3 linked regions of the Stegostoma tigrinum genome follow. The protein of the gene in region 1 interacts with the protein of each later gene in a pairwise test. Links are inferred from orthologs where the notes say so. Each region holds a gene or a part of one and is shown in the gene's direction. Other genes may lie near its edges.

What was found. The genes of interacting proteins can lie anywhere in the genome.
Region 2: the proteins of cep63 (region 1) and gse1b interact in a two-hybrid assay, tested with the Homo sapiens proteins (2 studies listed by BioGRID and IntAct). The link is inferred for Stegostoma tigrinum from reciprocal best matches to the Homo sapiens genes CEP63 and GSE1.
Region 3: the proteins of cep63 (region 1) and tbc1d15 interact in binary tests that used the Homo sapiens proteins (3 or more experiments, as listed by UniProt). The two-hybrid records come from large-scale screens. The link is inferred for Stegostoma tigrinum from reciprocal best matches to the Homo sapiens genes CEP63 and TBC1D15.

The regions. Positions count from the first base shown.
Region 1 is NC_081367.1:1,143,551-1,154,744, forward strand, and holds the start of cep63 (centrosomal protein of 63 kDa), read left to right. Parts: upstream 1-4,385; 5' UTR 4,386-4,570; intron 4,571-11,194. Other genes in the region: tyrosine-protein kinase RYK, read right to left, coding at 4,190-4,343. UniProt on the Homo sapiens protein: Required for normal spindle assembly.
Region 2 is NC_081369.1:53,027,376-53,038,502, reverse strand, and holds the start of gse1b (genetic suppressor element 1), read left to right. Parts: upstream 1-5,752; 5' UTR 5,753-5,837; coding exon 5,838-7,769; intron 7,770-11,127.
Region 3 is NC_081371.1:44,263,435-44,274,577, reverse strand, and holds the start of tbc1d15 (TBC1 domain family member 15), read left to right. Parts: upstream 1-5,768; 5' UTR 5,769-5,839; coding exon 5,840-5,857; intron 5,858-11,143. UniProt on the Homo sapiens protein: Acts as a GTPase activating protein for RAB7A. Does not act on RAB4, RAB5 or RAB6.

The DNA.
Region 1 (11,194 bases):
TTGTCCTGCTGCCTTCAAGAATCCATGCACATGCACATCGAGGTTCCTCTGTACTTCACAGTCCTACCATTCAGTATTTATTCCCTTGCTTTGTTATTTCTTCCAAAATAGATGACCTCACACTTTTCAGGATTAAGTCACATTTGACACCATTTAATCCATCTGACCAGCTCAGCTATATCTGAATGACTTCACGTCCTTCTTGAAAAGTGGTATTCAAAACTTCTAAAAACTAGCGAGTTTTGAGAAGATTTGTAGCTCAGGTTGAGGTTCTGGATGTGAACTTGCTCGCTGAGCTGGAAGGTTAGTTTTCAGACGTTTCGTCACCATTCTAGGTAACATCATCAGTGAGCCTCCAACGAAGCGCTGGTGTTATGTCCCGCTTTCTATTTATCTGGTTAGGTTTCCTTGGACACTACATTGGACAAACTGGCAGGAAGCTAGCCACCAGGACACATGAACATCAACTAGCCACAAAACGACATGACCCACTATCACTCGTATCCTTACATACAAATAAGGAAGGACACCACTTTGATTGGGACAACACATCCATCCTAGGACAAGCCAAACAGAGACATGCACGAGAATTCCTAGAAGCATGGCATTCCAACCGGAATTCCATCAACAAACACATTGGCTCCAAATCAATCTACAGTCCCCTGAGAAAAAGAACAGGAAATGACATCACCAATCCAAGGAAACCTAACCAGATAAATAGAAAGCGGGACATAACACCAGCGCTTCGTCGGAGGCTCACTGATGATGTTACCTAGAATGGTGACGAAACGTCTGAAAACTAACCTTCCAGCTCAGCGAGCAAACTCACATCCAGAACTTCTAAAAACTCTCCAGCTGAGGGTAAACGAATACCTTGTACACATTTAACACATCTTTATCTTTGCATTCTGAGCTCTTAGTTATAACAAGAATCCTGGATTCATTATTAACTGTGCTCCATCCTGTCATCTTCAATGTTCTGAGCACAGAAACTCTAGGTCCTAGGACTTCTTGCATCCATGCAATTTTGAGGTAAAACACAATAGCACAGAATATAAAACTACAGGCCTGGTGATGGAAAATGGGATTAGAACAGATAAATAGCCTGAGGGTTAATGCAACTACAATAGGCCAAGGGGCCTTTTTGCATGTTGTAAAAAATTCAACAAGTCCATGGCCATCCTCCTCAGGAGCCTCCGCCACAGCCAACATCTAGGACTTACCAACCGACTCCACTCCTCCTCCACCCACCACCTCCACAGCCAGCAGATCCAGAGGAGACAATAGCACCCAGCCCTGCCAGGTCTTCACCAACCCCTAGACCTCCCCTTTAATGAGGGCAAACGGTCAGTCCTCGGTAAAGAGCTCATCTTTATCCCCTCCACCAGAATCGAATACTGCTCACACTTGGTCGTTGAACAGTTTTTCCATCACCTCCGTGCTTACTTCTTTAATCGTGAGCCTCACCCTCTTCTACTGACCCCTTCCCCTGCCTCCAACACACCCCCTCTTCCTGGATATCACCCCAAGGCCTCCTATCCTCCCTCAACCTCTTCGTCTCCAACTCCTGTCGAGACATCAATCGCCTCAACCTCTCCATCTCTCTCACCCTGTCCAACCTCTCCCCGACAGAATGCACAGCCCTCCACTCCAATCCCAACCCCACCATAAAACCCACAAACAAGAGAGGCGCAGTTGTAGTATGGCGCACTGATCGCTACATCGCCGAGGCCAGACACCAGCTCTCTGACACCTCCTCCTACCGCCACCTTGATCATGACCCCACCCCCCGACTACCAAAACACCATCTCCCAAACCATCCACAACCTTATCACTTCAGGTGACCTCCCACCCACAGCCTCCAACCTCATTATTCCCCAACCCCGCAGCGCCCATTTCTATCTCCTTCCTAAAATCCACAAACCTGACTGCCCTGGTCAATCATTGTCTTCTCCTGCTCCTGCCCCACCAAACTTATCTCAACTCTATTTTCTATCCTGTGGTCCAGAAACACCCCACCTATGTCCTTGACACCACCCATGCCCTCAACCTCCTCCAAAACTTCCAATTCCCCAGTCTCCAACACCTCATTTTAACATGGGCGTACAGTCCCTATACACTTGCATTCCCCATGCAGATGGCCTAAAGGCTCTCTGCTTCTTTCCCTCCCACAGGCCCAACTAGTCCCCCTCCACTGACACCCTCATCCACTTAGCTGAATTCATCGTCAACAACTTCTTTTTCAATTCCTCCCACTTCCTACAGACAAAGGGGGTGGCCATGGGTACCTGCCTCTTTGTAGGTTACATGGAACAATCCCTCTTCCATAGCTACACTGGCCCTAAGCCCCACTACTTCCTCCGTTACATTGATGACTGTATTAGTGCTGCTTCATGCTCCCACGGAGGAGCTCGAACAGTTCATCGATTTGACCAACACCTTCCACCCCAACCTTAAGTTCACCTGGGCCATCTCTCCCTCCTTCCTGGACCTCTCTGTTTCCCTCTCTGGCAAACACCTGGCAACAGATATCCATTTCAAGTGCACCGACTCCCACAGCTACCTGGAATACACCTCCTCCCACCCACCTTCCAGCAAAAATGCCATTTCCTATTCCCAATTCTTTTGCGTCCACCACATCTGCTCTGAGAATGAGGCATACTACTCCCGAACATCTCAGATGTCCTCATTTTTCAAGGACCGCAACTTTGCACCCCGCCCCAACCAATGGTTGAGAACACCCTTGGCTATGTCTCCCACATTTCCCGCAACGCATCCCTCACATTCCCCCACACCCCACCCCACAACAACAACCAAAACAGAATCCCCCTCGTCCTCATGTATCTCCTCCAACCTCTGGATCCAAAGTATCATTGTCCGACACTTCCGCCATCTGCAAGCTGACCCCACCACCAAAGACATTTTTCCATGCCCACCCTTATCTGCCTTCTGGAGGGACCACTCTCCCCGTGACTCACTTGTCCATGCCACACACCCCTCCAGCGCCACCACACCCAGTATTTTTCTCTGCAACCGCAGGAAGTGCTACAACTCCCCCCTCACTTCCATCCCAGGCCTCAAGAAGACTTTCCACATGCATGTTCACCTGCACATCTGCTAATGTGGTATACTGTATCTGCTGTTCCAGATGAGGCCTCCTCTGCATCGGGGAAACCAAGCAGAGGTCTGGGGACTGCTTTGCAGAACACCTACACTTGGTCCACAATAAACAACTGCACCTCCCAGTCGTGAACCATTTTAACACCCCCTCCCACTCCTTAGATATATCCATCCTGGGCCTCCTGCAGTGCCACAACAATGCTACCCAAATGTTGCAGGAACAGCACCTCATATTTCACTTAGGAACCCTGCAGCCCAATAGTATCAATGTGGGCTTCACAAGCTTCAAAATCTCCTCTCTACCTATGGCATACCAAAACCAGCCCAGCTTGTCTCCACCTCCCTAATCAGTCCTTTCTCCCACCTATCCTGGGACACTACTCGTCCCACCTCAAGCCCCAACCCCATCTCCTACGTACTAACTTCATCCCACCTCCTTGAACAGTCCGTCCTCCCTGGACTGACCTATGTTCTGGGTGTGAGTTTGCTCGCTGAGCTGGAAGATTAGTTTTCAGACGTTTCGTCACCATTCTAAGTAACATCATCAGTGAGCCTCCGACGAAGCCTATGTTCTCCCTAACTCGCCACCTCCAATCACCTTTACTGGCTCCATCCCCGAATCCCTGACTTGTCTGTTTCCTTGCCCACCTATTTTCTCCTCCATCCATCTTCTCTCCGCCTCCCCCTCTCTCCCTATTTATTTCAGAATCCCCTTCTTCTCCTCCCCTTCTGGAGGAGGATCTAGGCCCGAAACGTCAGCTTTCCTGCTCTTCCGCTGCTGCTCGGCCTGCTGTGTTCATCCATCTCTACACGTTGTTATCCCCTCAGTAAGTATTTACTAAGGTTCTTTAGGCAGTAGCATCCACACCAACGACTACCATCGATCCCCTCTCCCCTAGCCCCATACCCGTTTTCCTCGTACCCACTGCCGTCTCATCAGGTCCTGCCCCGTCTCTCCCCGCCTCCCACAGGCCACGCCCCCAACATCCCCCCCCCCCTACCCAAACCCCAGCAGATACGACGCCCACCCTCCACCCGAGCCCCAATTCTCCCGTGGGCCCAGACGCACCGATCAGCCGCCGCGTCTCCTCCACGCTCAGGTAGACGTTGACCCCGGGGCCGCCTCGACACACGGTGTCCGAGCAGCAGCTCCACAGCACCAGCAAGGCCCGCCAGAAGTTCATGGATGCGCCCCGGCCAGCAGCGGCGGTGGTACCCGCCATTGCTGAGCGGCGTTTTCCTGATTCTGTGTTCGTTACGGGCTGTTACACGCGCCGGGGATCGACCAACCGCCTCTCCGTTCCTCCATGGCCGCGTCCAACACGGCGCGCATGCGCCAGGGCCGGATCCGTTTACTGAGCATGCGCACTCGCTGGCCCTGGCAGGCAGTTGGCATGTTGGTTCGTCCCTGGTTTGATAGGTTGTCTCTGAACAAAAGATGTCTGTGCAGGTAGGAACCACCAAAGTACTGGTTTGAAGGGATTTTCCCCAAATAACAGCGGGTAGGGGAAAGGCGTGAAGCGTGAAGTCAGACATGCGTGCAATAAGGGTTAAATTTGTTCGGGTAATTTTACATCTCCAATACCTAACTTACAAACCTGCCAGAAGAAAAGTATTGAAGCCTGAGCATTGGGAACGTTTTATACTTCATCAAAATGAGAACAGAGAGGTCGACAGCACAGAATATGACAATAACGCTACAAGGAAAATAAAATGAGTAAAATTGCGGATGATGTGAAAGTTTCTTTTAATGTGTGAAGAACCAACAGATTCGTAAAGACAAACATAGGTCCTCAGAAGGCAGCAGCTGGTCAAATTACAGTAGAGCAGAAAGAAATATAAGAATTGAACTTGTACTTCAAGTCTGTTTTCATGGAAGGAGGCATAAATAACTTCCTAGAAATGTTAGGGGATCAGGGTCTAGCGAGAGGATAGAATTGAAGTATATCGTTATTAGAAAGACAATGATGCTGGGGAAGTGAATGGTGTTAAAGGGTGACAAATCACCATGGCCCAATGATCTATCATTCACTGACTCCATCTATACATCTACCAAAAACCCCAACCACCCATTTAAACTCTCTTGCACTATCTTCTGTTGGGCAGGAGATATTGAAATTTGAATAAGCATATAAACAGATTCAAGTACAACTTGTTCCTGCTGTTATCAGATTTTTGATGGTCCCCTCAAGTGTTGATTCTGAGCTCATTCTCTCTCCACCTCCTCTGTGGTTGTAATACTGTCTTCTGCAATCTGTCTGCCTTCCAGGTGCACTTTCTATGGTATGGACTGCAAAAGAGCATTTTTCACTGTATCTTGATACATGTGACAACAATACATTGAATAATAAACTCCAGAATACAAAAGGAAGTGGCCCTGGAAACATTAGATGCATGCTGGTTAGCTTTCAAATTCTATAGATTTTGGAACAGTCCCTACAGATTGAAGAGTGGTAAATGTCGCCACTGCAAAAATGGATGGAGAGAAAACACAGGGAATTATAGACCAGGGAGCCCGACATCAGTAGTGGGCAACACACTATGGTCCATTATCAAAGATTTTAAAGCAGAACATTTAGAAAACAATAATTGATCAGACACAGTCAGCATGGATTTACAAAAAGGAAATTGTGCTTCGCAAATCTAAAAAAATTTCTCCAGGATACAACTAGTAGAATGGATAAAGGACAGACTGTGCATGTGGTGGTTTTGGATTTTTTGGAAGGCTTTTGATAAGGACCAATGTAAGAGATTAAAGGGGAAAATCAAAGCACATGAGATTGGGAGTATTGGGGACAGGAATACACAAGGATAACAGAGATAGCAAGTCAAAATAAATCAGCCCTATAATCACTGGATATGCAATAGAGTGAAATTAAAATATTCAGTGACCCTCAAAATACCCAATTGTTCCTAAACAGACTTTGTGAAGATCAGATCTAGGACACCAAGATTGTAACTTAAAAATTAACAGTTTATAATTAGTACTGTAACTTTTTACAGAACAATACTAAACAACAATGTAATCTAATGAATATCCATGATTTAAACACAACTTTTTTTGTTTATAATCAACAGTCTCACACCACCTGGCAGACTGACAGACAGAATTAACAGATAAATTGAAAAGAAAGCAAAAATTATAATTTTCCACTTCAGTTTGAAATCTCACAACACCAGGATATAGCCCAACAGGTTTATTTGAAAACGTGCTTTTTGAGCCTCACTCCTCCTTTAGGTGTTAGTAAAAGAGGTAGTATTACACACAGAATTTATAAGTAAAAGATCAAAGTGTCTGACCTTGTCCACTCCAGTCCAACACTAGCATCTCCACATCACCACTTCAGTTAACCAGTTTCAAACAATAGACATCAAGCCTTCATGCAATCCCTGGACAAGGAGTTATTCACGGGTGTGTGACTACAGGTCTAATTTCAAGATAATTGGTTAATATTAGCAGTTTCAGTAGACTTCCTAATTGTTTACTTTTTTCCTCGCAGACTGTGATTCTTTTGTCTGAATATTCAACAATTCTTTAGATTAGATTCCCTACAGTGTGGAAACAGACCCTTCGTCCCAACAAGTCCACACTGCCTCTTGGCGCATCCCACCCAGACCCCAACCCCTGATAACCCACACACTCTGAACACTATGGGCAACTTAGCATGGCCAATCCACCTAGCCTGCACATCTTTGGACTGTGGGAGGAAACTGGAGCACCTGGAGAAAACCCACGCGGACATGGGGAGAATGTACGAACTCCGCACAGACAGTTGCCCAAGGCTGGGATTGAAACCAGGTCCCTGGCGCTGAGAGGCTACAGTGCTAACCACTGTGCCGCCCCAATTTAACTGGATGCAGAATAGTACAGAAGCTTCCAAAATCACTCTGCACCTCACAAAACCAAACAGAACTAGTTTTCTTTTTTTCCTTTTTGGATCAATTATCTCTTTGGGTGCTGATTAGATTCGGTTCTCTTTTGATTGACCAATTCAACATCTGACTAGCTGCCAGCCCTCGGCATAGCAATGCTTGCTGCCAAATCATCTACAGTATTCCTTACATCCACAATTAGAGTCATAGAGCTGTACAGCACAGAAACAGACCCTGCTGTCCAACTCGTCTATGCTGAAAAGATATTTTAAATAAATCTAGGCCCATTTGCCCACGTTTGGCCCATATTGTCGAAACACTTCCTGTTCATGCACCCACACAGATGCCTTTTAAATGTTTTAATTCTACCAGCCTCCGCCATTTCCTCTGGAAGCTCATTCCAGACATCACGACCTTCTGCATGAAAAAGTTGTCCCTCAGGTCCCTTTTAAATATTTCCCCTCTCACCTTAAACCTATGCCCTCTAGTTTTGGATTCTTCTCCCTGGGGAAAAAGCCTGGTCTATTTATTCTATCCATGCCCCTCATGACTTTATAAACCTCTGTAACGCCATCCCTCAGCCTCTGACACTGCAGAGAAAATAGCATAAGCCTATTCAGCTTCTCCCTGTCGCTCAAATCCTTTAAAAACAAAGTTGTTGGAAAAACTCAGCAGGTCTGGCAGCATCAATGAAGGAAAGAAACAGAGTTAACAGTTCGGGTCAATGGACACGAAACGTTAACCCTGTTTTTTCCTTCACAGGTGCTGCCTGACCTGCTGAGCTTTTCCAGCAACTTTGTTTTTGTTCCTGATTTGCAGCATCCACAGTTTTATTTTTGGTTCTCAAACCCTTCAACCCTGGCAACATCCTTGTAATTCTGTCTGAACCTTTGCAAGTTTCAGAACATTTTTCCGAAAGCAGGGAGACCAAAATTGCGCTCAGTTTTCCAAAAGTGGCCTAACCAATGTCCTGTACAGCTGCAACAGGACTTACCAACTCCTTTACTCAATGCACTAACCAATGAATGAAAGCATATCAAACTTCTTCTTCACTATGCTATCAATCTGTGATTGCACTTTCAAGGAACTATGAACCCACACTCCGAGGTTTCTTTGTTCAGCAACACTCCCCAGGACCTACACATTAAGTGCATAAGTTATGCCCTGATTTGCCTTTCCAAAATGCACCACCTTACATTAATCTAAATTAAACTCCATCTGCCAATTGTTGGCACATTGGTCCATCTGATCGACCAGGTCAGTTGTCAACAGCAAACACATACGTTTGTTTTTTTTTTCACTAAAACTCACAACAGTTGAAAGTTTAAGAAATCCAAATCTCAGTTCATGTGTGCGCCAAAAAAGAGAAAAATAAAAGAAAAATCACGCAGGTCTCTACAGTAACATCGAGGCATGGATTGAAATTTGATTGACGGGAAACATAGACTGGGAATAAATGGGCCTTTTTCCGAATGGAAGACTAGTGAGGTACAATAATAGTCAGTACTTGAGCCCCAGCTATTAACTTCATATGAAAATGACCTAGATGGGGCTGACAACGCAAAACTGGGCAGGGTTATGAGATAGCTTAAGGTGATTTAGACAAGTTGTGAGACTGTGCAAACACATGGCAGATCCTGGACAACATGGCTAAAAGTTGTACACTTGGGTGTGAGAAACCAAAGGCCGTGTATTATTTAATCAGTGATGTATTGGGAAATAGCGATGAATGAAGAGTGTCCTTATCCACCAATCAATGAAAGTTTTTACGCTGTTACAGCAAGAATTAAGAGTTCAAAGTGTGCATTGGCCTTCATTACAAGAGGATTTGAGTTCAGATGTACTAATGTCTTTGTGCAGTTTTACAGGGCTTTGGTGAGACTGCTCCTGCATGCAGCTTTGGTTTCCTTATCTAAGAAAATATATACTTACCGCAGAGGTAGTGCAGCAGAGGTTCACTAGGCTGATAACAGAGATGGCAGGGCTGTCTTATGAGGAGAGACTGGGCCTGTATTCACTGGTGTTCAGAAGGATGAGGGGGATCTGATTGAAATGTATCAAATTCTAACAGGGCTGAACAAACTAGATGTGGGGGTTGGGGCAGAGAAATTGTTCCCTGATTGGGGAATCTAGAATAGTCACTGTCTCCAGACATGAGAGAGACCATTTACGACTGAGACAGTTACTCAGAGGGTAATGAACCTGGAGAAGTCTGTCTCACAGAAGACTGTGAAGGCCAAGTCACTTGAATATATCCAAGAAAGAGATAGATAAGTGTTTAAACATTAAAGGTCTCAAGGGATATGGGGAGAGAGCTGGATTATAATCCAGAATTTACCCCGCGCAATCTCTCAGAAATAACTTTAATCCCCTCAGCTGGCTAGACACTGTTTACTGTCTCACCCCTGAGAGTGGCCATTGTTATGGCAGTGCTGAATCTGATGTGGACAGAGGCCAGCCCCCTACATAGCTCTGATGAGTAGAGATCTGAGGGGCTGGGCACATGTTTCTAACTAATTTCAATACCACCTTGTAACTCCTGTGGCCCGGCTGAAACCATCTTTCACATTCCCATTACAGCTGCTTTTTCATGATTTTGAGGGAATGCTCCTCAATCTCAGATCCATTCTCCAGATGTGTAATGAAGGATCTTCTCTTGGGACTGCTTTTAGAGAGGCCAATGTAGTCGTACAATGGTCCAGGATGGATGCAGCTTAAAGGGACTGTCGCTGTTTGTTTGCCATTCAACAGCAGCATTTGCATCAAATTCTGTATTAGTCGCTCACAGTATCAATAGTGCCCAAAGCAATGTAGTTGACCTCTAAATGCCCTTTAGGAATGAGCAATAAATGCTGGCCTAGCCAGCAACAGCCTCATCCTGTGAATGAATTAATAAAAGGAAGCATTCTTAGATCAGTGGCCACTGCAAGGATTGAAGTATATCATGGATACTGCAGACAATGATCCTAGAACTTTCTGAACTTTGTTTCAACCTTCGATTGGTTACAGCCCTATGTAAGTGCATTTTGTTAGGTTTGCTATTTGACAACACGGGGGTAACTATTTGTCTACTCTTACCAATAAAACCACAAAATACTGAGGATGCTGGAAACCTGAAGCAAGCACAGACAATGCTGGAGAAACTCACCTGGTCTGGCAACATTTTGGAGAAAGAAACAGGAATCAATGTTTTGAATCTAGTATGACTCAGAAACTGGAGGGTGAGTGGTCTGCTGATTGAGGAATGGGAGGAAGGGGCTGAGGAGCGGAGAGGGCAGAGGAGGGGTGGGCAGAGATTGGACAGGGTTTGTGGGTGGTATGGGCAGAGAATTGGTGGGTCTGGTGGTCGGGCGCAAAACGGAAGCAGCCCATGTACAGCCACATCCATAATGTGCACGTGTGTTCTCATGTGAATCTGGTGTCAGCAACTTGCAGCATTTTTTAATTCCAAATTCAGTGTTGTTGATTTTATATTGAAATATTTTTGGCAATGAATGCAACCGTTCTACAACACATCCTCTGTGAATATATAAGGGTTGTTACTTTGGTAACTGCAAGCCCTGACCTGCAAGTTGGATGAGGTAAGAGAGCAGGAAGCAAAGTGTGAGTTTATTTCAGTGAAAATGAATTGATGTTCATGTGTTTGGCTCCAGCATGCCTGTGACAATATGGGCAGTGCCATTGTTTTTCCAGGCCGCTGCCACTTTACCATTTTGTTGTGATATTACATTGCAGGGCTACATTTGTGCACATGTACTGTTGCTGTACCACCCAGCATTGATAATAACATGGTCTTGTAATAAATGATCAGAAAACAGTGTAAAATTAAGTAGCTTATTCTCAGATTGGCAGGCTGTGACTAGTTGGCACAACAAGGATCCTTGCTGAGACCTGACCTGTTCCTATGATGCGTAATCATATTGTTGGCTTTTACTTTCAGCAGGATACTTGCACTTGATGAAGGAATACTGGTGCAGGCACGATGAGCTGAATGACTTCCTTTTGCACTGTGCTGATTTGGTGATAATGTTAATTTCTCTAGCATAAGAACTAGACACAGATAATGCAGTATTGTGTGATTCAAAATGATCTCCTAGCATATTTCTACATCATAATCACAGACACAGGCACTCCAGCACCTTGTTAACATTAAGTTGTTTAGCTATAAACAGCAGCACACCTCCATCAGTTAAAATGGAGT
Region 2 (11,127 bases), on another chromosome or scaffold:
TTGCCTTCTTAACCACCTTATTAATCTGTTCTGCCATCTTCCGGAATTTGGAGATTTGGGGATGAAGTAGTGTGCAAGGTTTCTGGGAGAAATCAGGAGAATGGCAGGAAATGAATTGCTCATTAGGATAGCCCATGCAAACAAAATTGGTTACATTGGCCTCTCCTGCCTTGTAACTATTCAGTAACAAAGCTGCCTTTCTCAGAACCATATTAATATCTCCAGCTGTAATCCTTAACTCTGCTAACTTCCTCAGCCTCCCATTAAATTTGTTTTTTTTTGTTGTGATTTGTCCCCTTTGTTGAGTTGGCCATTCCTGAACATGTTATCCTGTTTCACATTTGTCCTTAAATACATATAATGTGTATCACTCTGAACAGATGGCCACGTGGGTAAGGTAGGTAATGTTTGGTCTCCTGAGCCTGTCTACTCCCTGTTAGCTGCATCCTTCTTTCTCTTTCCTTTTCATTATGCTTTCTTTTTCTCCTTCTTTATCGTCTTCTTGTCAGCAGCAGAGGATGCGTCATTGTGGAGGAGGCTGGAGTGGGATGCATGGTGAAGGCAGCGAGATGGGGCTGTAGTGGTGGTTCATGGTTACAGTGGACCCAGAGTAGAGAGATGTCAGGGAGATGGCAGCTGCAGCTTTGGCTGCGTGGCTGGCCCAGATCAGTAACCTCTAGCGATGTTGGCGGGGTGACGGCAGCAGAACTGGGTACTCCTGGGGCATCAGCAAGACCCGGAAAGGGGCCTCGTTGTGGCTTGGGGACTGGAACACCTTACAGAAACCCAGAGATACGCTTGACAAGAAGAACTGTAATGTTGAACATTATTTCTTACTTTTCTTCCTTTTTTGTCAATTGAACAGAAGATGAAGCTCTATTTAAGTAATATCTTTTTATTCATTTTGTAATCCCAAATGGCACCAGTCTGTAATGACAAAACACTTTTCACTTTATTTTCCCAAATACATGTGACAACAAAATCATTCATTCATTCATTCATTCATTTATTTGTTCATTCCTTTTCGTGGATAGCTCAAATTATCAACTTTCCTTCCCAATCACAAACACCAATTGCATTCGTAACTTTATTTATCTGTGTTGGCAGCTTGGCCTTGTGTTGAATTCAGAATTTTCTGGTGAAAGCTTCATACCTGGAACCTGAGCATGTCATTTAGATTATCACTTTGTAATGGCACCAAGGAGGCGGGCGTGTTGCTTTTTAGGTTGATCTGTTCAATTCAAATGGGCATAAAACTGCCTCTTTCAAAACCAAAGCTACAGGATTAAGACTTGACAATTTTGTGAACATTTAATACCTTGTGTCACTTTTAAAAGGAACAGTAAAGATTCCCTATGTTGTCCTGGCTAACATTTGTACTCTTGCCAATATAGTCAAACCTGTACATCTAATCTCATTGCTGTTTGTAGAATATTATTATGGGAGCAAATCAGCTGTCAGGTTCCCTAAAAACATTACTACATGTCAGAAATAATCAATTCTGCCTTGCAGGTGTAGAAGGTGATATTTAAATGCAAGTTAAATCATCATTTATATGTAGGTCTGTTGTTGAAATGCAGGTTATCCAAAGTCCAGCTATTTTAGGGAACTTAGGTTGGATTAACTAATGAATACCTGACACTCAATTCTCAATGTTGTGCTTAATAAATCGCACGTCTGGGCACTGGAATAAACTAAGCAAGGAGCCCAGTCAAAAAGTGAAGGCTTGTTGGAGCTTTGTTTATACTGATAAAATTATTTGCATATCCAACAGGAAGGTAAGTGGAAAAGCATAATCAATTCAATTTTTCTGCTTAAATTGCATTTTGCAATCCACTCCACAATTTAACAATCAAAATGCATGGGTGGTGGGGAGGGAAATTTCTGAAGCAGCATCTGGGCACAGGGATTTCAATTTCAGGCAATTTTGTTGAAGATTTTCAGAGGGATAAGTGTTTTAATGCCAGTAGCGACACTTTCTTTAACCCAAAAACTCCTTGAACAGACATCCTGACTGCTCTGAAATGAACAGGAACAGAAATTGCTGGAGAAATACAGCAGGTCTGCATCTGTTGAGAGAAAACAGCTAATGTTTCAAATCCAGTGACCCTTCTTCCTAACTAATAGCAGCTGTGTAAAGGAGAAGAGTGGGGGTTGGTGAGGAAAGGGGTGAGTGGATAGGTGGAGCCAGAGCCCAGAGAAAGAAAGAAAAGGGAAAGCAGACAAAGAGATTGTTGGTAGTAAATCAGGAAAGAAGAAAAGGTAGCCTTGGAACACTTGCTAATTTTTCTTAATTTTATTTTCATTATCATTTTTGGTTTGGACTGTGAACTGTCTGCTGAGAGCTGAAAGTGATCATTGGACTGTGAGCAGCAGTGTGTATTTCCAAAAAAAACTAAATGTTATTTCTTTGTGAGGCCAGATCTGAAAGTTAATTGCAGGTTGTTTCTTGTTGCAAGATATTTTGACTCTGGTGAAACCTTTAGCTTAACCAGATAGCAGATGTTAGGCCACTAATGAGGTCAGTATCTGGGAACTGGTGCCAACAAGTCTGGGAGAGAACATGATGATGAAACAGAGGGAGGTACTAGAGTTTTTTTGTGAACTGTGTTGAACTGGGGATTTCTGAGACAGGCAGTTTGGCTTTTGACACTGTTGCATGAAGATTTGAAAGCTCCCCGCCTAAACTCCCGTTATCAACTATCAGCAGTTCAGAGAATAGAAACAAAGATATTAGTGTTATTGAAACTTACTTAGCATGAGCTGGAAAAGGTGGCAATGAGCTCCATCAAAAAACAAATTGAGACAAACCTGTGTACCTGGGAAGCAAAGCAAACTGCTGAAATCATCTGGCCAGTTTTATTATTTTTCCTTTCCTTTTGATTTATTCTTTCTTTATGTTCTGAGGAAAGGTCACAAGACCAGAAACGTTAACTCTAATTTCTCTTCACAGGTGCTGCCAGACCTCCTGAGCTTTTCAAGCAACTTTTGTTTTTGTTTCTGATTTACATCTTTTGGTTTTCCTTAATTATGTTTGTTTTTACTGTTTTTTTGTGTGAATGGAGCTGAAAACAAAAGTTATTGGGTATAAATCATAGATATTAATTAGGTTATCTTACTGTTTCACTTTGCTCTGCTAAAGCTACTGTATTATTAAGAAGTTATTGTATATTTTGTTTAAGCTACAAACAGGGCGTCTTGTATTGATTATTGACTAAGTCTGGTTCAGGTTATTTAGTTAGGGACCACTGCGATCGATTTTGAGGGTCATTTTAATTTACCATGTTGCAAATACACAGTTAGGAATGCTGATCTGATTTGGTTGCCTGTCTCCATGACATAATACAAGGTAGCTCATAATGGAGTCTAGTTGAAATGTGTTGGCAATGGGATGGGGTAGTGAATGAGATGTTCATGCTCTGAGACTATCCAACTCAATATTGAGTCCTGAAGGCTGCAGGCTCCCCAAGCCGAAAATGGAATGCTGTTTTTTCCAGCATGGGCTGACTGTCACTGAAGCGCTGCAGCAAGCCCAAGACAGAGACGTGGGTCAGGGAACACAGTGATGTGTTGAAGTGGCAGGCAACCAGAAGCTCAGGGGCATTTTTACCGATAGAACATAGGTGTTCTGCAATGTGGTCACCCAGTCTTTGTTTTGTGTTCCTAGTGTAGAGGAGACCACATTGTGAGCGGCGAATACAGTAGACTAGATTGAGTGAAGTACAAGTAAATCACTGCTTCACTTGGAAGATGTGCCTGGGGCTTCGGATAGTGAGGTGGGAGGGGGTAAATGGTCAGATGTTACACCTTCAGAGATTATAGGGAGGTGTTGGGAGTGGAGGAGGAGTGGACCAGGGTGTCCCAGATGGAACAATCCTTGTGGAAAGCCAACAACAGAAGGAGGGGAATATGTATTGGGTGGTGGCATCTCACTGGAGGGTGGTGCAAATGGGAGTTTATAATCATTTGGATGTGGATGCTGGTGGGTGGAAAATGAGGAGAAGGAGAACCCTATTGTTGTTGTGGGAGAGAAGAGGGCAGAAGTGTGGGAAATGGGTTAGACATGGCTATCATAACAAAGTGTGGAGCTGGATGAAGACAGGAGTACAAAAGCTGGTGTTTCAGGCCTAGACCCTTCATGAAAAAAGGTCTAAGGCTCTGTTGGCTCTGCCGAGTATAACCAGTCTATATATGTTTATATATTGTATCTTTACGGAGGATGAGGAGTGAAAAGGATGCAGGTTATCAAGTAATCTGAAGGTAAACAACAGTGTGATGCTTATGGGTGAGTTTGAGGTGGCAGGGCTGAAAGTTTAACTCAAAGGAGCAATGGGGACTTTCTGGATTCTTTATGAGTTAGTGGCCAATCACATGTGGATGTTATTGAGGGGAAGTGAGAAATATATCATTGTTTTCATTTAAGGTGCTGTCAAGTGAAATGGAAAGTTGTTAGAGTGCAGAAGAAGGCCACTCGATCCATCATGTCTGCATAGCCCAGATCATGGATACAGTGAAAAACTGACGAAAAGTCACCGGGCCAGAAATGTTAACTGTGCTTTCAGCCCACAGATGCTGTCAGACCTGCTGAGTTTATCCAGCAATTACACTTTTTTTGTAATAAAAAAGTTGGAAGTGCAGGTGCTGGAGCACTGTACTGAGGCGAACTTGTAGAAGTTTATAAAATCATAAGGGGCATGGATAGAGTGAATAGCCAAGGCCTTTTTCCCTGGGATGGGGGAGTCCAAAACTAGAGGGCATAGGTTTAACGTGAGAAGGGAAAGATTTAAAAAGGTCCTAAGGGGCAACTTTTTCACACAGAGGGTGGTGCATGTATGGATTCAGCTGCCAGAGGAAGTGGTGGAAGCTGGTACAACGACAACATTTAAAAGGCATCTGGATGGGTATATGAACAGGAAGGGTTTAGAGAGGGTCTAGGCCTGAAACATCACCTTTTGTGCTCCTGAAATGCTGCTTGGCCTGCTGTGTTCATCCAGCTTCACACTTTGTTATCTCGGGTTTAGAGAGGTATGGGCCAAAAGCTGGCAAATAGGACTAAATTTATTTAGGATATCCAGTTGGCATAGATGGGTTGGACCGAAGGGTCTGTTTCCTTGCTGTACATCTCTATGACTAAGTTGCACCAGTGTACATCACTTGGAGCAAAAACAAAGTTGCTGGAAAAGCTCAGCAGGTCTGGCAGCATCTGTGAAGGGGAAAAAAAAGTTAACATTTTGGGTCCGGCTACACTTCCTCAGAACATCATTTGGTGGTTTTACTGCTTTACCTTTTGGGTGAGAATTTTAATGGAGTGCCTTGCGGTGCCCAGCCCCGTGTAACCCTGCACATTGTTTCTACTGAGATAATGATCAAAAACCTTCTTGAATGTTCTCCATTGAACCTGACTGCAGGGCACAGACGTGGTTGCATCTTCTTGGGAAGAATGATAGCAAGGCTCCTGGCTATACTCTGTGTGTGTGTGTGTGTGTGTGTGTGTGTGTTCCCCTGGGGGTGTGGATGTGTGAAGTTTGAAGTAAGTGTGGGGTCTGGAAGTTTTTGTGTGTGTGTGTGTGTGTGTGTGAGTAAGTGAGTAGGAGTTGCATTGTGGGGCCGTGAAGATGGCTCGCTAGGAGATGGCGCTGTCTAGCTGCCTGGAGCTGGGCAAAGTTTAGTAGCAGATTGTGTGAGGGGGACAGCACAGTCAGTCAGACAGACAGACACACACAGCTCTGAGTCCGCCTTGAAGCTGAGTGCAGAGTGGGCTGTGGGTGGTGGTGTTTAAAGGGGGGGGGGGGGGGGGGATTTACAGACACCTCCAGCTTTCCCTCCCCCCAGCGCGAATGATGAGTGACAAAGAAGCGGCTGCTCCGCGCTCCAGGAAACACCGGCTGATGGCAGCTTTCGAGTCCGGGGAGGAGAGCCCCGGCGCCGGCTCGGCGAACGGCACCGCCCGCTTGCACTGCTTCATCTGCGGCGGTTGTATGAGCCCCGGGCGGGAGCAGCGGCTCCAAGTGCGGGCAGGGGGCTGCCGAGGCTCGCCTTATTTCCCGTTCCTGCTGCAGCAGGAGCCAGCTCCCGGAGCCCGGGGGGTAAGCGCTGAGGGCTGGGTACAGGTCTGCTCCGTCTGCCGCTGCTTCCTGGGCGAGCAGTGGGAATCCTTCGAGAGGACCCGCACCCCGGTCGACAAGCGCATGTACTGGCTCAAGAGACCGCACCAGTGCGACAGCCGCACCGTGCCCCAGGAGTGGAACCCCAGCTACGAGCCCGAAGCCTGCAGCGTGGGGCACGGCAGCAAGGAGGCGCTCGACTCCTCTGTCTCCTCCTTGTCTGACCAGGACCTGACTGACCAGGAGCTGGAGACCCCCGCTCCCACTCACCGCCGGGGCTCTTCCCTCGCCCCTTCCCCCCGGGCCGGCCGACCCCTCTCGCCGACCGCCGACCACCGCTCTCCACCGAGCGAGACCCCGGCCCGCCGGGCACCCCCGGGCGCGGGAGACTCCTCCGGGGACGAGTCCCACCCGCCTGGACCCCGGGAGCGAGGGGGCGGGGTGGTCGCCAAGGGTGGGGGCCCGGCCTGCTTCGTGTGTGGTGCCGGCCTGCCCCCGGACGCTGGGCACCAGGTCCACGTCCACAAGCAGGAGGGCGGGCCCTGCCGGAGGCCCTTCTTCCCCTTCCTGTGGCTCCACCGACCCCCGCCCGGGGCTTGCCCCCTGAGCCCCGGGGGCAGCACCCTGGTGTGCACATTCTGCCACGCATCGCTCATGCAGCAGTGGAGGGGCTTTGAGATGGCCAACGTGCCCGTACTGCAGAGGCTGTACATGGTGCCCTTGAACACCGGAGTCCTGGGCACGGCACTGACGAGCCCCCCGGGTGAGAGGGAGCCCAGTGGCGGTAGGGAGACCCCAGGCCAGGAGTGCTACCTGTGCGGCCAGGACTGTAGCAGAGACGCCAAGGCTGTGCGTTCGAGGAGCATCGACAATGGTGGTGGTGGTGGCAGTGCTCGGGACGGCCCCATGTACTTTCCGTTCATTCGCCTCCTGCCCCGTCCCCCGAACGGCCCGGAGATGAGTGAGTGCGGGGAGGTCCGATGCTGTGACGATTGCTATGCGGTGTTGAAGGACACATGGGGGGCCTACACCGCTACTGGACGGGAGGAGCTGATCTCGTCCGCCCAGGCCTTCCTCACGCGGTACCTGCGGATGAGCGGCGCCGCCGGTGGCCCTCGCCCGAACCCGGCGACCGGGCAGGTGTTCAGGGCGGCCCGGGTCACGGTCTGCCTATTGTGTGGCGCGGAGCTGGAGCCGGGCCGCGAGTTCCAGTTGAACGTCGACCCCCCTGGCCGCCACAGCCAGCGTGAGCCCTTCTTTCCGTTCCTGGCAAGCCGCCCGCGCACGGCCACCGTCCGGCCTGTAGATTCGACCAGCCCAGCGTCAGCCTGCGTCCTGTGTTACCATGACCTCCTAGAGCAGTGGTGGAGGGGGAAGAACACTCAGCATCCCAGCAGCCCCTGGTCCCGGCAGTACAAAGTGGACACCTTTGTCTGCTTCTTCTGCAGGCAGGAGAGAAAGCGTCACCTCGGCCTGAAAGCCATCACGGTAAACCGACTCCCTGTCTTCCTACATACCCCTCGAGTGGCCGAGACTCTCGTGGTGGATGATGGTGAGCAGCTGATAGTTGGGGCGTGTGAGGATTGCAGGGCTATGGTACTGGCTGGAGGCACCTTCAAACAAGGAACCCGCACGGATTCGTTATCACCACCCAGTCACGTGAAGGTAAACCGTTTACTTCTCTTTCAGTGTGATGGCCTTGTCCATTTAAATCTGATTCGCACTGTCCACTCTGCAGTTCACTTGTCCTTTTACGCTCGTTTACAGTGTGCGTCCTTAGATCTAGGTGCCATATTTCATGATTTCCAAAATCAGTCTTGACTTGTCACAGGTAATGTTTTCATGACATTTGTGGGAATGTTTGGTTAAATGACACACGTTGGAATGAGTTCTTGAGAACTCTGTGCCCAGCTAAAACTCACAAAGGTCAAACCCAGCATTGTAACGGGGTGTATCCATCACACACAACCAGATCAGAGGTGTGTGCCCGCTTGATATAAGACAGCTGATTGTCCTGAAGTAGAACTGGAGGCTAGTGATGTTATCTGATGCTTTGTTGCTTTGACACGACAGACTTCATTTTTTTTTTGTCATTCATTCAGGGGAATGACAAATTACGCTCAATTTTCGCCCCGTTTTCCTCTAATGTTTAAGACTAAGAAAGGGAATTTTAAACGAACAAATCGATTTTGTGAAAGGTATTTTGCAAGTTGCCAACGTGTCATGCAAGGAGTTAAGCGTAGAGTTTATTTCCCCAGGCATCGTTTTATCAAGATGCTTGTCCCAAGTGAGCATGTGCTTCCTTATAGAAAGTTGGTTATCACTTAAGGTCTTTAGATCTAATGTTGTTCGCATAACGCTCAGATAAGTAATCTGCGCATTTCAGGCAAACTGATCCTTATTAAAATAATTTGACAATGGTTGTTACCTGACTGATGGGACAAATGCTAAGTTGGTGCTGATTTGTCACACACCTTTGTGCCCTCACTGCGGGGAGCAGGTGTTCATGTTTTGGCGCTTGCAGGGGAATGCCCCTGTCTACCTCAGTCTTCAAGCGGCAGTGCGTGTTGTGTTGTGGAAGCAGCTGTGCATCATTTTGACTTGAGACTGCAACAGTCCAAGTTATTACTGGGACAGCAACAATGGTGGGACAGGTGAAAATTTCACACAGCCACACTGCCAGCTTGTATTTTTCTTTTATTATTTGTGGGTGCTTCAGCAACATGGGTGCGTGCAATTTCTGTTAGAAGTCCATTTGAAAATACCCAGTGAAGTGTAGATGCTACTTTTCTCAATTGAGTTGCGTCTGAGGAGAACATCCTGACTTGGTGATGCAAATTATTGGCAGGTCAGGTTCTGTCAGGGAGTAATCTAAAAGGGTGAATTCAGAGAGTTACACAAACTGTGGGATATTGAGCATCAGGGTGACTTTTTATTGATTCAGTGAATCACCACTGATAAGCTGTTTAAATCTGGCTACACTGAAGTGCTGCATGACATGCAAGCTGGATTTTCACAATTTGCAGTGTTGACTAGACTCCAATTTCCTTCATTGTGTCTAAGTGCTTGGCAAGTCTATTGTTTGTTAAACACATTTTCCCATAAAGGATGTGGCTCTTAAGCTGGAAAAATGCACTTTCTTTCACACTGGGCATGTACATTTTGGGAAACTGTATATCTGCTCCTGTGCACCCCCTCCTCGTGTGCAAGGTCACCTTTACCCTATCATGCAGTTTCAGACAGGATGCACTGACCCCAGACTACAGTTAAATGCTGCATCTTGGAGAAATAGGTCATTGCAAATAAGAGGAAAGCAGAGTTTTTGCAAACAAACTTGAACCTGCACAGTACTACAGCATGCTGTGTATAAAGGTTTATTCATCTTTTGTGGATGTTTAATGTTGGAAATGTTTACCCAGTTTCTGCAGTTACTTCACCCTAATCCATTCCTAAGACTGCTTGATAGTTTGTGACCCTCTCCACTGTTTTTGTTTAAAAGGCTTTTATTTGAAATCCGCACTGAAACAACACAGTCCATTGAATAAACAGCATTGGTCTGTGAAGGCATCTTTTAAATGTTTCACTCATGACTGACTGACTTTGCCCGTCCAGTAGGAACCATCAGTTCTCCGACTTACCCGATGACTGTGTTTTAACATGTTAAATTTAGTACCTTTTCTAATTTCCTTTCAACATAGGGTCAAAAATAGAAGAGAGATGATACCAAAGTTTGAATTATATTGGATTAAGAGGAGGCCACTCAGCCCATCAAACCTGTTGACTGTTGGATCAAGGCTGATGTGCGCATCAAGGCTAGTAAGAACTGCAATGCTAGAGTCGGAGATAACACCATGTGGAGCTGGAGGAACACAGTCGGCCAGGCAGCATCAGAGCAGGAAACTATCCATTTTTCTCTCCCACATATCCGCCCTTCACTTCCCACTGACCAATCCCCACCACTCCCTACCTGCCATCTCCTATCACCATCCCACCAACCTTCCCCAGCCCCACCCCTCCTTTCTATTTATTTCCCAGCTTCCTTCCCCCTCCCCATTTCCGAAGAAGGGTCCCAAACTGAAATGTCAACTTTCCTGCCCCTCTGATGCTGTCTGGCCTGCTGTGTTCCTCCAGTCTACGCTGTGTTGACTCTAAAGTAAGATCATGGCCCTTTGCTCTTGATTTCCATCAGAGGAATTCTTTCCTTCATACTTTGTTGAATCCTTTTCAAACTTTATGTCCTTACAATTAGGTTAAACTTATTAACTTCAACCTATTAAATTCAAGCGACCACAAACCAAGTTTGTGCACTCCATCTTTGTAATCTATTCTTCTAAACCCCAGTATAATTCTGGTGTATCTGTGCTACACTCCACAGCAGACACTTCATAGAATCGCTACAGTGTGGAAACAGACTATTTGGCTCATTGAGTCTACACTAACCCTCTGAAGAGCTTCCCACCCAGACACACTCTCCTACCCTAACCCTGCATTTCCCATGACAAATCCATCCTACAGATCCCTGGACATTATGGGGCATTTAGCACAGCCAACCCACCTAACCTGCACATCTTTGGACTGTGAGTGGAAACCGGAGCACCTGGAGGAAACCCACACAGACACAGGGAGAAAGTGTAAATAAACTCCACAGGGTAGCCTGGAGATATGGAAGTTGAAAGCCCAGAGGATTCGCCTAGTTCCCCACCTGTATTCAGCATTGCCACTCATGTTGATAAGTGCTAACTCAGTACAGAGTGAGGACTGAACCCATGACTTTGCTCTACATGCGTCAGCAGCATAGCACATGGAGTCATTACAGCACGCCTCATGTATGCCAGTGATTTGCTTCATTTGAAGAAAACTTTGGCATAGTTGTTATTGTGGGGGGTTGTGGTATGTTGAATCACTGAAAATCGTGGATGGAATGGCTGCATTCCATGGATGGGAGAAAGGGAAAGGTAGAAAATAATGACAATGTCTGGAGCATGTCATTCTAGTCTGTCGTTCAGGCTGCAGTGCTGAAATT
Region 3 (11,143 bases), on another chromosome or scaffold:
AACTTATTCCTATTTTTATCTCAGGAAAAGGTCGCAATTGGCTCCTTACTGCTGCAGTAAAAGTCAACAATATTTTTAGTTGAGGAGAGGAGTGGCTCGTGCTAAAAAGAACTTAAGCCTATGTTGTGACTCATTGAAGAGGTTAGAAAAATGGAAGCTGGTTCACCCCTACTCATTGTACCATCAAGGATTAAATTCTTGTACATGGATTCATGTCTCAAGACTCAAACTGACATTTCTTTTTTGCTTAATTTTGTAAAACACCTTTGTTTTGTCCAATCCTTCTTCTGTATTTCTGCGCTGCTTTTAACATCAGATGTTAGTGTTTCCTAAATGGTTGAATTGATTGACATGTTCCAACTTGCTTTCTTACTGTGCTGTTGCAAACTGGAATGTCTTCTTTGTCATGACAACAGTTTTCTTGCTTGAGTGTTAGCTTGTATATTCCAGTTTCTTTTATGACTGGATTGATTATTTTTTGAAAATCTTGTTTTTGTGAAAATAGCTGAAGACACCTGTATAGGAATGTAGGTAATGGGAACACGAATAGCCCATTCAGCATAGGGACTCCAATAAGCCTTCAACTGATCTTCTACTCAATTGATCTTTTACTGCACCATTGCATACCATTTAATATGTTTAACTTAGAGAACAATCAATCTCTTTATCAAATACACTCAATGACTTAGCCCACAAAACTCTCTGGCAGAGAGAATTACAAAGAAGCATCACCCTTTGAGTGGAGAGTTCTTTCCTTATCTCAGTCCTAAATGCTTATCTCTTGTTCTTAAACTGTCCTTTCTAGTTCCAGACAACACAGACAGGGGAAATTTCTTTCCTGTATTTACACTTCAAACTCTGTAGGAATTTTATATAATTTAATGAACCCTCATTCTTTTGAACTCTAGGGAATATAAGCTCAGTTTCCTCATCCAACCTTGGGAAAAGAGACCAAACCTACATACAATACTCAGTGTTTGGTATTAAAAAAAGCTCTATTCAATTTCAGCAAGACTTCTTCACTGCAGTTATCAAATCCTCTTGTAATGAAGGCTAACGTATCATCAACCTTCACAATTGGTTGCTGCAATTACATGTTAGCTTTCAATGAATTAAGAACAAGGTCTTCTAGACTCTGTTGGACATCAGCATTTCCAATATCCCTCCATGTAAGAAAGACTCTTCATTTCCATATGAACTCAGCTGACGGTAATACTGGAAAAGTCAGATCCCACAGCAAGACCTGGCTTGACAGACCATATGTTTTCTTTTTTCCCTTTTTGTTTACTGTGAAGTTCAGTGACTCAATACATTCAGAACAGACTGCCACACACTTGGCCCAAAAACGTATAACAGAAAAGAAAAACATGAATGATATTACACTATATAACAATTTGAAATTTAGTATAACGTTAGAACAAAGGTCTGAAACATTTTAGCCTACCGATAACTATATAGATACTTAAATCTCAGTGAAGCGTCACCCCTAAGCTCCATGTTGAAATTCGATGTTCAGCTGGCAATCAGTTTCCTTTTCTGCACATATTTGTGTGTTCACTTGATGCTAGTTTCTTCATTTACAAAAAGATAAATTATCTGGAATGAGGAAAGTCATCCATGAGAGAAAAGAACTTTTGTTTTAAGTTAAACTTGTCATGATCAACAGAGGCACAGGACTGAAAAGTTAAAACGGGCCAGTTCCTTTTTCCTAATCTGGGTTCACAGTGAATTGAGGTCTGGTTGTAACAATGACAGATTATAGCATTTACTCTATTATGTCAAAGTAACATGCCAATACTTGCCCATTTTGTCATCTGTTCTTTTTATGAGTTTCTTGGTCTTCTCTTGCTAAATCCTAAATTGCTCCAAATCCCCAGGCTTATTGCTTTGTTTGACAACTTTTTAAGAAACCTCTCTTGATCTAATATAATCTTTAACTTAACTAACATATGAAAGGAAATAACTTTTATATTGTAGTATACTTGTGAACCAATCAGCGCTCGCCGTTCATACAATACAGATGTTGATTCCCTTTATACTGGCATTTCTTGCAAACTGTCCTGATGAGTGTTAGACAAAATATTTGATGAAATGTCTTTCTTCAGCTATACTCTAGTTCTGTACCACCAAAAGATTATTGGTATACTCTGATGACAATTTCTCTTATGACTGATTTGTTCCCTTGTTTGTCTTCTCTTTCTAATTTAGTACATATTCTGTCACATGGTCCTTCATCCCCAATATTAGTTTAAAGCTCTCTATACCACTCTAATTATTATGAGTTGTGAGAACACCAGTCCTCACACAGTTCGGTTGAAGACTTTGCCAATATTCCTAGTACTAATGCTAGTGTCCCAGGAATCATAGCCTGTTTCTCCCATATCATTCTTTAAGCCACACATTTAAATGTCTAATCCTATTTACCATACCCAATTTGCACATGGCTAATACAGAGGTTATTGATTTTGAGGTTTTGATTTTTAATTTAGTCCTAATTCCTCCTACTTTCTCAACAGAAACTTGTTTTAGTTCTGCCTATGTCACTTGGTATCTTCTTTTGACAACAACATTTGCATCCTTCCCCTCTGCAAATCCCTCTCTAGTCCAGAGTTATCAAGAAACCTTAGCAAATGTGAAGTCAACTGGAATTGAGGAAAATTTTCCACTGGAATCATAGATAGCACAGTGATTGTTAAAGGTCAATCATCTCAGCCTTAAGGCATTGGTGCATGGGTTCCTTAGGGAAGTGTCCTATGCCCAACCATCTTTAGCACCTTCATCAATGGCTCTCCCTCTATCATCAAATCAGAAGGGGGATGTTGGTTGATTTCATCATATTCAGTGCCATTTAATATTAAAACAGTGCATGCTCATGTGCAGCAAGACGTACAACATCCTGCTTGGGCTGATAAGTGGCAAGTTAATGTTTGTGTTGTACAAGCTCAGGCAATGACATCACCAACAAATGAAAATCTAATCACTGCCCCTTGACATCCAATAGCATTACCATGACTTAATCTAATACTATCAACATCCTAAGGGTTAATATTGACCAGAAACTAAACTGGATCAGTCATACCTGCATCGTGGTTACATTAACAGGCCAGAGGCTAGGAATCCTGCAGCGAGTTACCCACCTCCTGTATCCCATTGCTGGTCCACCATCTCCAAGGCACAAATCAGGAGTGATTCTCTATTTCCGACAATGCTCAAGAAGCTTGACACCAGCCAAGTCAAAGCACCCCTCTTGATCAGAACCCCTTCCCTCTACCTAAACATTCACTTCCTTCAACACAAATGTACATTAACAGCAGTATGTACAATTTACAAGATGCACTCCAGAAACTCAACAATGCTCTCTTGACAGCTTTTTCCAAACTCAGAACCTCCAACACCTAGAAGATCAAGAGTAGTAAATACATAGGAACATTATCACTCATAAGATGCGCTCCAAGCCAAAAGACATCCTGATTTGGAAGTATATCATTGTTCCTTTACTGTCAGTAGGTCAAAATCATAGCACTTCCATTCAGCACTCTTAATGTACTTGCACCAGATGGACTTCAATGGTTCAAGATGACAGGTCACCATTGTCACCAACCTAACAAGGGAAATCAAGAAATGGTAAATAGGCTTTTGGAAGTCTGGAAGTGAGTTACTCATTGCAATGTTCCAAACCTCTAAACATTGTATTATTGTGGCAAGTCCAGATGAATTTCTAGTCAATGGTAACCTCAAGGATTTTGATCGTGGGGAATTCAGTGATAGTAGCATTATTGAATGTAATAGGGATGGTGATTGGATTGCCCCTTATTTGAGATGGTCATTGCCTGGTATTTGTGTGGTATGAATGTCACTGGCTAGTTGTCAGCTCATGCCTGGATATTCTCTAGATCTTGCTGCATTTGCACATGGACTGCTTCAGTATCTGAACAGTTGCTGAACATCTTGTAATCAACAGTGAACATCTCCACTTCTGATCTCATGACAGAAGGAAGTTGAAGCAGCTGGAGACGGTTAGGCTTAGGATACTACCCTGAGAAACGCCTGCAGAGCTGTCCTGGAGCTGCGATGATTCACCTCCAACAGCCACAACCGTCTTCCTATGTGCCAGGCATGACTCCAACAAAAGGAGAATTTGCCATCTGATACCCACTGATTCTGGTTTTGCTCAGGCTCCTTAATGCGGCCTGACTCAGTTGAATATGGCCTTGATGTCAAAGGCTGTCACTCTCATCTCAGCTCTTTTGTCCATATTTGAACCAAGGGTGTAATGAGGTAGGAGCTGTTTGGCCCTGATGGAATTCAAACTGGGCATCAATATGCAGGTTATTGTTGAGCAGGTGCTGCTTGATAGCACTGTTGATGACAGCTTCCATCACTTTACTGGTGATCAAGATTAGTTTGATTGTGCACTACTAACCCTGTGTATTAGATTAGATTCCCTACAGTGTGGGAACAGGCCTTTCGGCCCAACAAGTCCACACTGTCCCATGCCCCTGTGACCCACACACCCCTGAAACTACGGGCAATTCAGCATGGCCACTCCACCAAGCTTGCACATCTTTGGACGGTGGGAGGAAACCGGAGCACCTGGAGGAAACCCACGCAGACAATGTGCAAACTCCGCACAGACAGTCGCCCGAGGCTGGAATCGAACCCAGGTCCCTGGCACTGTGAGGCTGCAGTGCTAACCACTGAGCCACCGCCCATTGGCAGTGAAGAGACCATAAGTTGAAGGTGGAGGATGTGGGGCCAATCAGGTGAACTGCGTCTTGCTGGACGATGGTAAACCTCTTGAGCTCCATTTGTCCATTAAGTGGAGAGAATATTCCATCACACTTCTGACTTGTGCTTTAATGAATGGAGGGGAGAAAGGAGACGAGTTACTCACGTGGACCAGACAAGATGAATGGCCTCCAAGCTCTAACTTTAATAAAAAAAACACTAAGAACAGCAGTTAACAAGGCGTAGAGCTGGATAAACACAGCCGGCCAAGCAGCATCAGAGGAGCAGGAAAGCTGGAAAGAAAAGAAAGAAGGGTCAAGATCCAAAACGTCAGCTTTCCTGCTCCTCTGATGCTGCTTGGCCTGCTGTGTTCATCCAGCTCTACACCTTGTTATCTCAGATTCTCCAGCATCTGCAGTTCCTACTATCTCTAAGGTGCTGGATATATGGACCAAAGGGGCTGTTTTCGTGCTGTATGACTCCATATGAAACAAGATCAGAAATAACTAGAGAAACATAGGCCTGGCAGCTTTTTAAATTCATTCGTGGTACTTGGGGATTGCTGGCCAGTATTTATTGACCATCTTTATTTCTCTTGATGGTGAGCTGCTTTCTTCAACTGCTGCAGTCCATCTGTTGTAGGTCGACCCGCGGTGCCATTGGGGACGGAGTTCTAGTGGAGAGAAAACAAGAATTAACGTTTCGAGTCCAGCGACTCTTCACCAAAACGGACAAAAACTCGGCAGGTCGAACAGCTCCAGTGGAAAGAGAAAGCGGATTGACCGCCCAAAATGCAGCGACTCCAACAGACCTCAACATAATAAAATGTGAGGCTGGATGAACACAGCAGGCCCAGCAGCATCTCAGGAGCACAAAAGCTGACGTTTCGGGCCTAGACCCTTCATCACTCTACCCCGACCGGGGACTACGCTTCAGCCAGCTGTACTGCCACCGCCGTCCACAGAGGGCGCGTCGATATGGCCGGTCTTCCTTGTTGTGGAGCACGGGCCCTCCCATCTTGCATTGGCGATGATCGTTGGTAGACGGCGGGCGCAGCCTTACTGTTTCCCTTCTCGCCGCACGTGACCGCGCCGACGTCACCGGCGACAACATGGCGGCAGCGCCCAAGGTAAGTTGTCTGTGTTTCGTCGGTTTATGGGTAGCTCCGAGGCCACTTCATTAAAACCCGCCTTGTAACCGACAGTTCTTTGTCTTCAACACCGTTCTGGGGTTTTTTTTTTGGGGAGGTGGTGCTGTCTCCACTTCTTTTGGTTAGTGAGTGTTTGTGGTTTTCTTTTAAATTAATGTTTGGACTTTAAAGATGAGAGGAGGTTGGGCTGTGTTGACAACTTGTCAGTTGGGAAAGTGCCACGAGTGCGGCACCTGCTGCTGGCCTGACTGCAGCTTAAAGCTGGCTGGCTGGCACTCACTCCTAACTCTGGTCCCGACCCGAAACGTCACCTTTGCTGCTCGGCCTTCTGTGTTCATCTATCTCTGCGCCTTGTTATCGCAGATTCTCCAGCATCTGCAATTTCTACTATCTCTGACTCGTTTACTACCATCGTTCTCAGTGCTTCTTCTGCACCGACAGTGGGAACTGTTTGCCCCTCTGATGGAGGAATGAAGCTGGAGCTTCATCATTTGAGAGGAGCTCACCACTGTGACCGTGCATTCTCTTGTCAGTGATCATTCACTTTCTAGAATGTTTTGTTGGTATCTCTAGTTATATCGAAAATGTAGGTTTTGCATTGGTAAGTTAAAGAGAAAGCACAAGTTATTTGGGTAAGATGAAGTACGGTGGGATCGTAGTTTAAGAGCATAGAACAGTACAGGCCCTTTGGCCCATGATGTTGTGCTGACCTGTTATCCTACTAAGATCAAACTACGCTGCCTACCCTACATTTTACTATCCTCCGTGTGCCTATCTAGGAGTCGCTTAAAAGTCTCTAAAGTATTTGACTCCGCTACCGCTGCCAGCACTGCATTCTACATGCCCACCACACTCTGTGTAAAGAACCTACCTCTGACATCTCCTCTGTACCTTCCTTCACTTGCCTTAAAATAATGCACCCTTGTGATAGTCATTTCCACCCTGGGAAAAAGTCTCTGATGACTCATTCTATCCATGCCTCTCAAGATCTTCTAAACCTCTTTCTAGTCACCTCCCAGCCTTCTACGCTGCAGTGAAAAAACCCTAGCTCCCTTAGTGATATTATCACTGGACTATTAATCCAGAGACTCACATAATGTTCTGGGGACCTGGATTAGAATCCTGCATGGCAGTTGGTGGAATTTGAATTCAATAAATGTCTGGAATTAGAAGTCTAATGATGACCGTGAATTCATTGTCGATTGTCGGAAAAACCTATCTGGCTCACTAATGTCCTGTAGAGAAGGAAACTGCCATCCTTACCTGATTTGGTCTACATGTGCCTCCAGACCCACAGCAACGTGGTTGACTCTTAATTGCCCTCTGGGCAATTAGGGATGGACAATAAATGTTGCCTAGCCACCGTGCCCTCATCCCGTGAATGGATAAAGTATATAGGACTACAAGGTCTGAGAAAGGGAAGGAGAGACCCACTGTCTGGTAAATAGGTTGAATCAAGGGTATAGCTAAAATATTCAAATGGTAAACTTCTCAGAAGGTATTAGCTATTAAAATCTGCTTTGAAAATTAGTAAGAACTATAACCAGCAAAGCAGAATGACTATATTTGTTTTTGCTACAGGATGACAGTCACAAGAAATTGTTTGGAAGAAACTTGAGAATTGACTTGCCCTATATATAAATATGAGAGTGACATGAATGATGTGAAACAGGAAACTTTTTTTTTGTGCGGTGACCTGCAGTCACATAACTATGGTACAATTCTATCAAACTGTTTTTAATGATATCTACGTTATGTGGTTAGATTGGAGGACTCAAACTGTTACTTGTTGTCTACAATGAGCCCTGAAATCTGACAATCTGGTCAATGAAGATCACAATAATTTCATTTACCAAGTTAGATTATCCTGCTCATTTAACTGATGGATTGATGGAAAACTTTGCATATGTATCACATTAGCTTGTTTGTATTGTTTACATTTGTGGACATGATTAGTTTTAAACTGTTTCCTAATTGATAAATTCTAAAAGAGAGCAGTAAAATGTGTTAAGTTTAGAGATGTTAAGGTTTTAGTATGTTATTGGAAGTTTTATATATGCTGCCATATAGTCCTTGGTATGCACCATACAAGCTAAAATACAGCAAACTTGGTCTTGCCCGAATTCTGCTGCCTGTGCCACTTCTCTTCCTACCACTAATCTACCACACTGGATCTCCCCTTAGATGCTCTTTCTGTACTTGGACCTCCCTTAGTTCTGATTTGTATCATTCTCTACTTTCTCTCCTCACTGCCTTGTGCCTTCTCAAAACTCTGTTGTTTCTTTTAAATTTTTGTCGGTCACAAATTTTTGTGTACTTCCTTTAAAATTTTGGCAAAACAATGCACCATGTTATTTATCATGGAGCTTTGTTTGCATATTAACGTCAAATTTGCTGAGTGACGAAACATCCACACAGCCTAGCAGGAATTTTACACCAGATCGGTCTTCTGATACTTGAATCGTATTCCTGCTAACTTATCAACCAACTACATTCACATCTTGACTCCTGCCTTAGTTAATATTAATGGTTCTCTGTCTTCAGGTATTACTCTCCTTTCACTCCTTTCCTTAAACCCAAACATTGACCTCTGTCTTACAGGCTACCATCCCATCTTCAACCATTTATCTCTTTCCAAACCCTTCAACATGTTGTCTGTAAAATCCTAGTGACTTTACAGAATCCAGAATCATTTCAGTTGGATTCTGCCCAGTCATAACCCTGAAGTGGCTCTTATTGGAGTCGCGATTAACTGTGACAAAGGTGAATAATCCCTCCTTGTCCATTTTAACGTGTTCGCAGCCTTTGATACAGTCGCTTCTCCAACATCTCCATTGCTGTCTGGCTGTTTGGGACTGCAGTTACCTGATCCCATTCATATTGATGCCCCTGGTGTCCTTTGCTCCCCACTATTTCACATCTATGTGCTACATCTCGAAGACTGAATTATCTTCTTCTCAGTCTGCAAATACACTGCTTCTTCACTAACTTGAACTGTGGGCTGACAACTGTCTGGCCCTGATGGAAATCATTCTAGGGTCTTAAAAGAAGTGAGGTAGATGATACATTGGATGTAATTTTGTGGTATTCCTTGATTTGAAGAAAGCCCCCAATATGTTGGAAGCTAGTTAATGAAAATCCTTTTTTTAAAACAAAAAGGTCAAGTGGAAAACAACAAGACAGATGGCATAACAGTTGAGATTGGGAAATGTTAGAAGTTGTTCTTAAAGTATTTGAATAACTTAAGTCACAGTCAACTTCTGTGAGGATAAGTCAGGTTTGAACTGTTGGAATCTTTTGCGGAGGTAACACAGGCTGTGAATGAAGGGGAATTGGTGGTTATATTGTCCTTAGCTTTGCAGAACACATTAAATAAACTGCCAAAACAAAGGTTATTGTAGAAAATAAATGTTCATGGTGGAGAAAGTAACATATTGGCATGGCTAGAAGATTTGCTGGCTAAGATGGAGCGGAGAGTAGGAATAAATGAGTCTTTTTGAGTTGGCAAAAAGTAACGGGTGATTTTTCTCAGGGTTTGGTGCTGGAATCTTAACTGCTTGCAATTTACATAAACAGAATGGATGATGGGACAGAAGGTGTGTCTGCTAAATTTTGCTGATATTGCAAAGATAGGTGGAAAGTAAGTCATGAGCAGACCGTAAGGATGGGCTGCAAAGTGATATAGATAGATTGAGTGGGTAAAGATCTGGCAAATGGAATATAATGTGGTAAAATGTGCAATTGCCCATTTGACAAAAGGAAGTGCATTATCTAAATGGTGAGAGATTGTAGAGCTCTGAGTTGCAGATCCATCTGAATGTCCTTGTGCACGGATCACAAAAGGTTAGTAGGCAGGCACAGAAGTGATCAGGAAAACTAATCAAATGTTATCATCTATCACAAGGGGAATTGGTTACGAAAGTTTATCACTAAGTTGTAAAAGGCATTGATGAGACCCCATCTGGAGTACTGTCCACAGCATTGATTTCTTTATTTGGGGAAGGATGCAAAAGTGTTGGAATCAATTCAAGTAAAGTTTCCTGTACTGTAACCTGGAATGATTGGGTTATCGTAAGAGGAAAAGTTGATCAAACTAGTCTTTTCTCTAGTGCAGTTTGGAAGCGTAAGGCGTGATGACTGAAACATATGCAGTCCTGTGGGGTCTTGACGGAGTAGATTTGGAGAGGTGTTTCCACTTACTGGGGCAATCTAGAACGAGGAGTCACTAAAAAAAAATCAGGGGTCACCCATTTAAAATAGAAGACTTTTTTTTCCTGCGGGACGCAAGACTTTGGACCTCTCTTCCCAAAAATGGACCTACATTCTATCCTCCCAAGAACATTCTGGGCTAAACTATTGGTTTGATTTTTGTTGTATTTAATCCTAAAACGAGCTATGAATTACCTTTTATATGCCATCACTAAGATTGCCTAGTTCAACCATCGTATCAACACTGTCTCACCTTGTAGAGTCAGAGAGTTATACAGCATAGAAACCCTTTGGTCCTTCTTGTGAATGAATGAACGATAATTTACCGTCACTTGTACTCTACAATGAGCAACACAGGAAAATACAGTGAAAAGCTATGACTATTACCGCAACCTGGTACCATTCAAATACTTCAGGAATAAAAATATAAAACTGAAAGTGAGTCGCAATTTCGCTGCACCGCCTCCATCATGAGTCCTGAGATGTGAGTTGGCCAATCAATGATACCCAAGTTGGATCCACCCACAAAGGAGCCACCAACCTAAAGGCGCCAACTGTTGTTGCTGGGTCACATGCTGGACCTAAACTCGCCCCACAACCAGGAGACCCTAGATTGCTGCTGCTGCTGTCTTGCCGACGACCAGGAGAACCCAGCTCCGGGCCTACCACAACGAGGAGCTGCTGCCGCCATAGCACTGTCCCTGTTCCGGGGGGTACCACAACCAGGTGTTCCTGGCTCCACCACTGCCACCGTTTCGCTGATGCCTGAAGTCCCCACTCTGGGTCCATTGCAACTCTGCTGTTGCAGCTACCTTGCCATTACCTGGAGTCCCCAGTCCAGGCTTACCACAGTCTGGAGTCCCGAGCTCTGCTGCCCAGGCCAGGCTGCCGCATTGCCAAGACTCGCGCTCCGTCTGCTCCTGTCTGTGATGTCCCTATTCTGCTGCTAACAAGAAGAAGGGGAAAAAAAAGACAGAGGGTAAGGGAAGAAGGGAGGAAATACCTGCCTGGAGTGGACAGGCTCTGGAGCCTGAACGCTGCCTGCTTTGCCAGGAC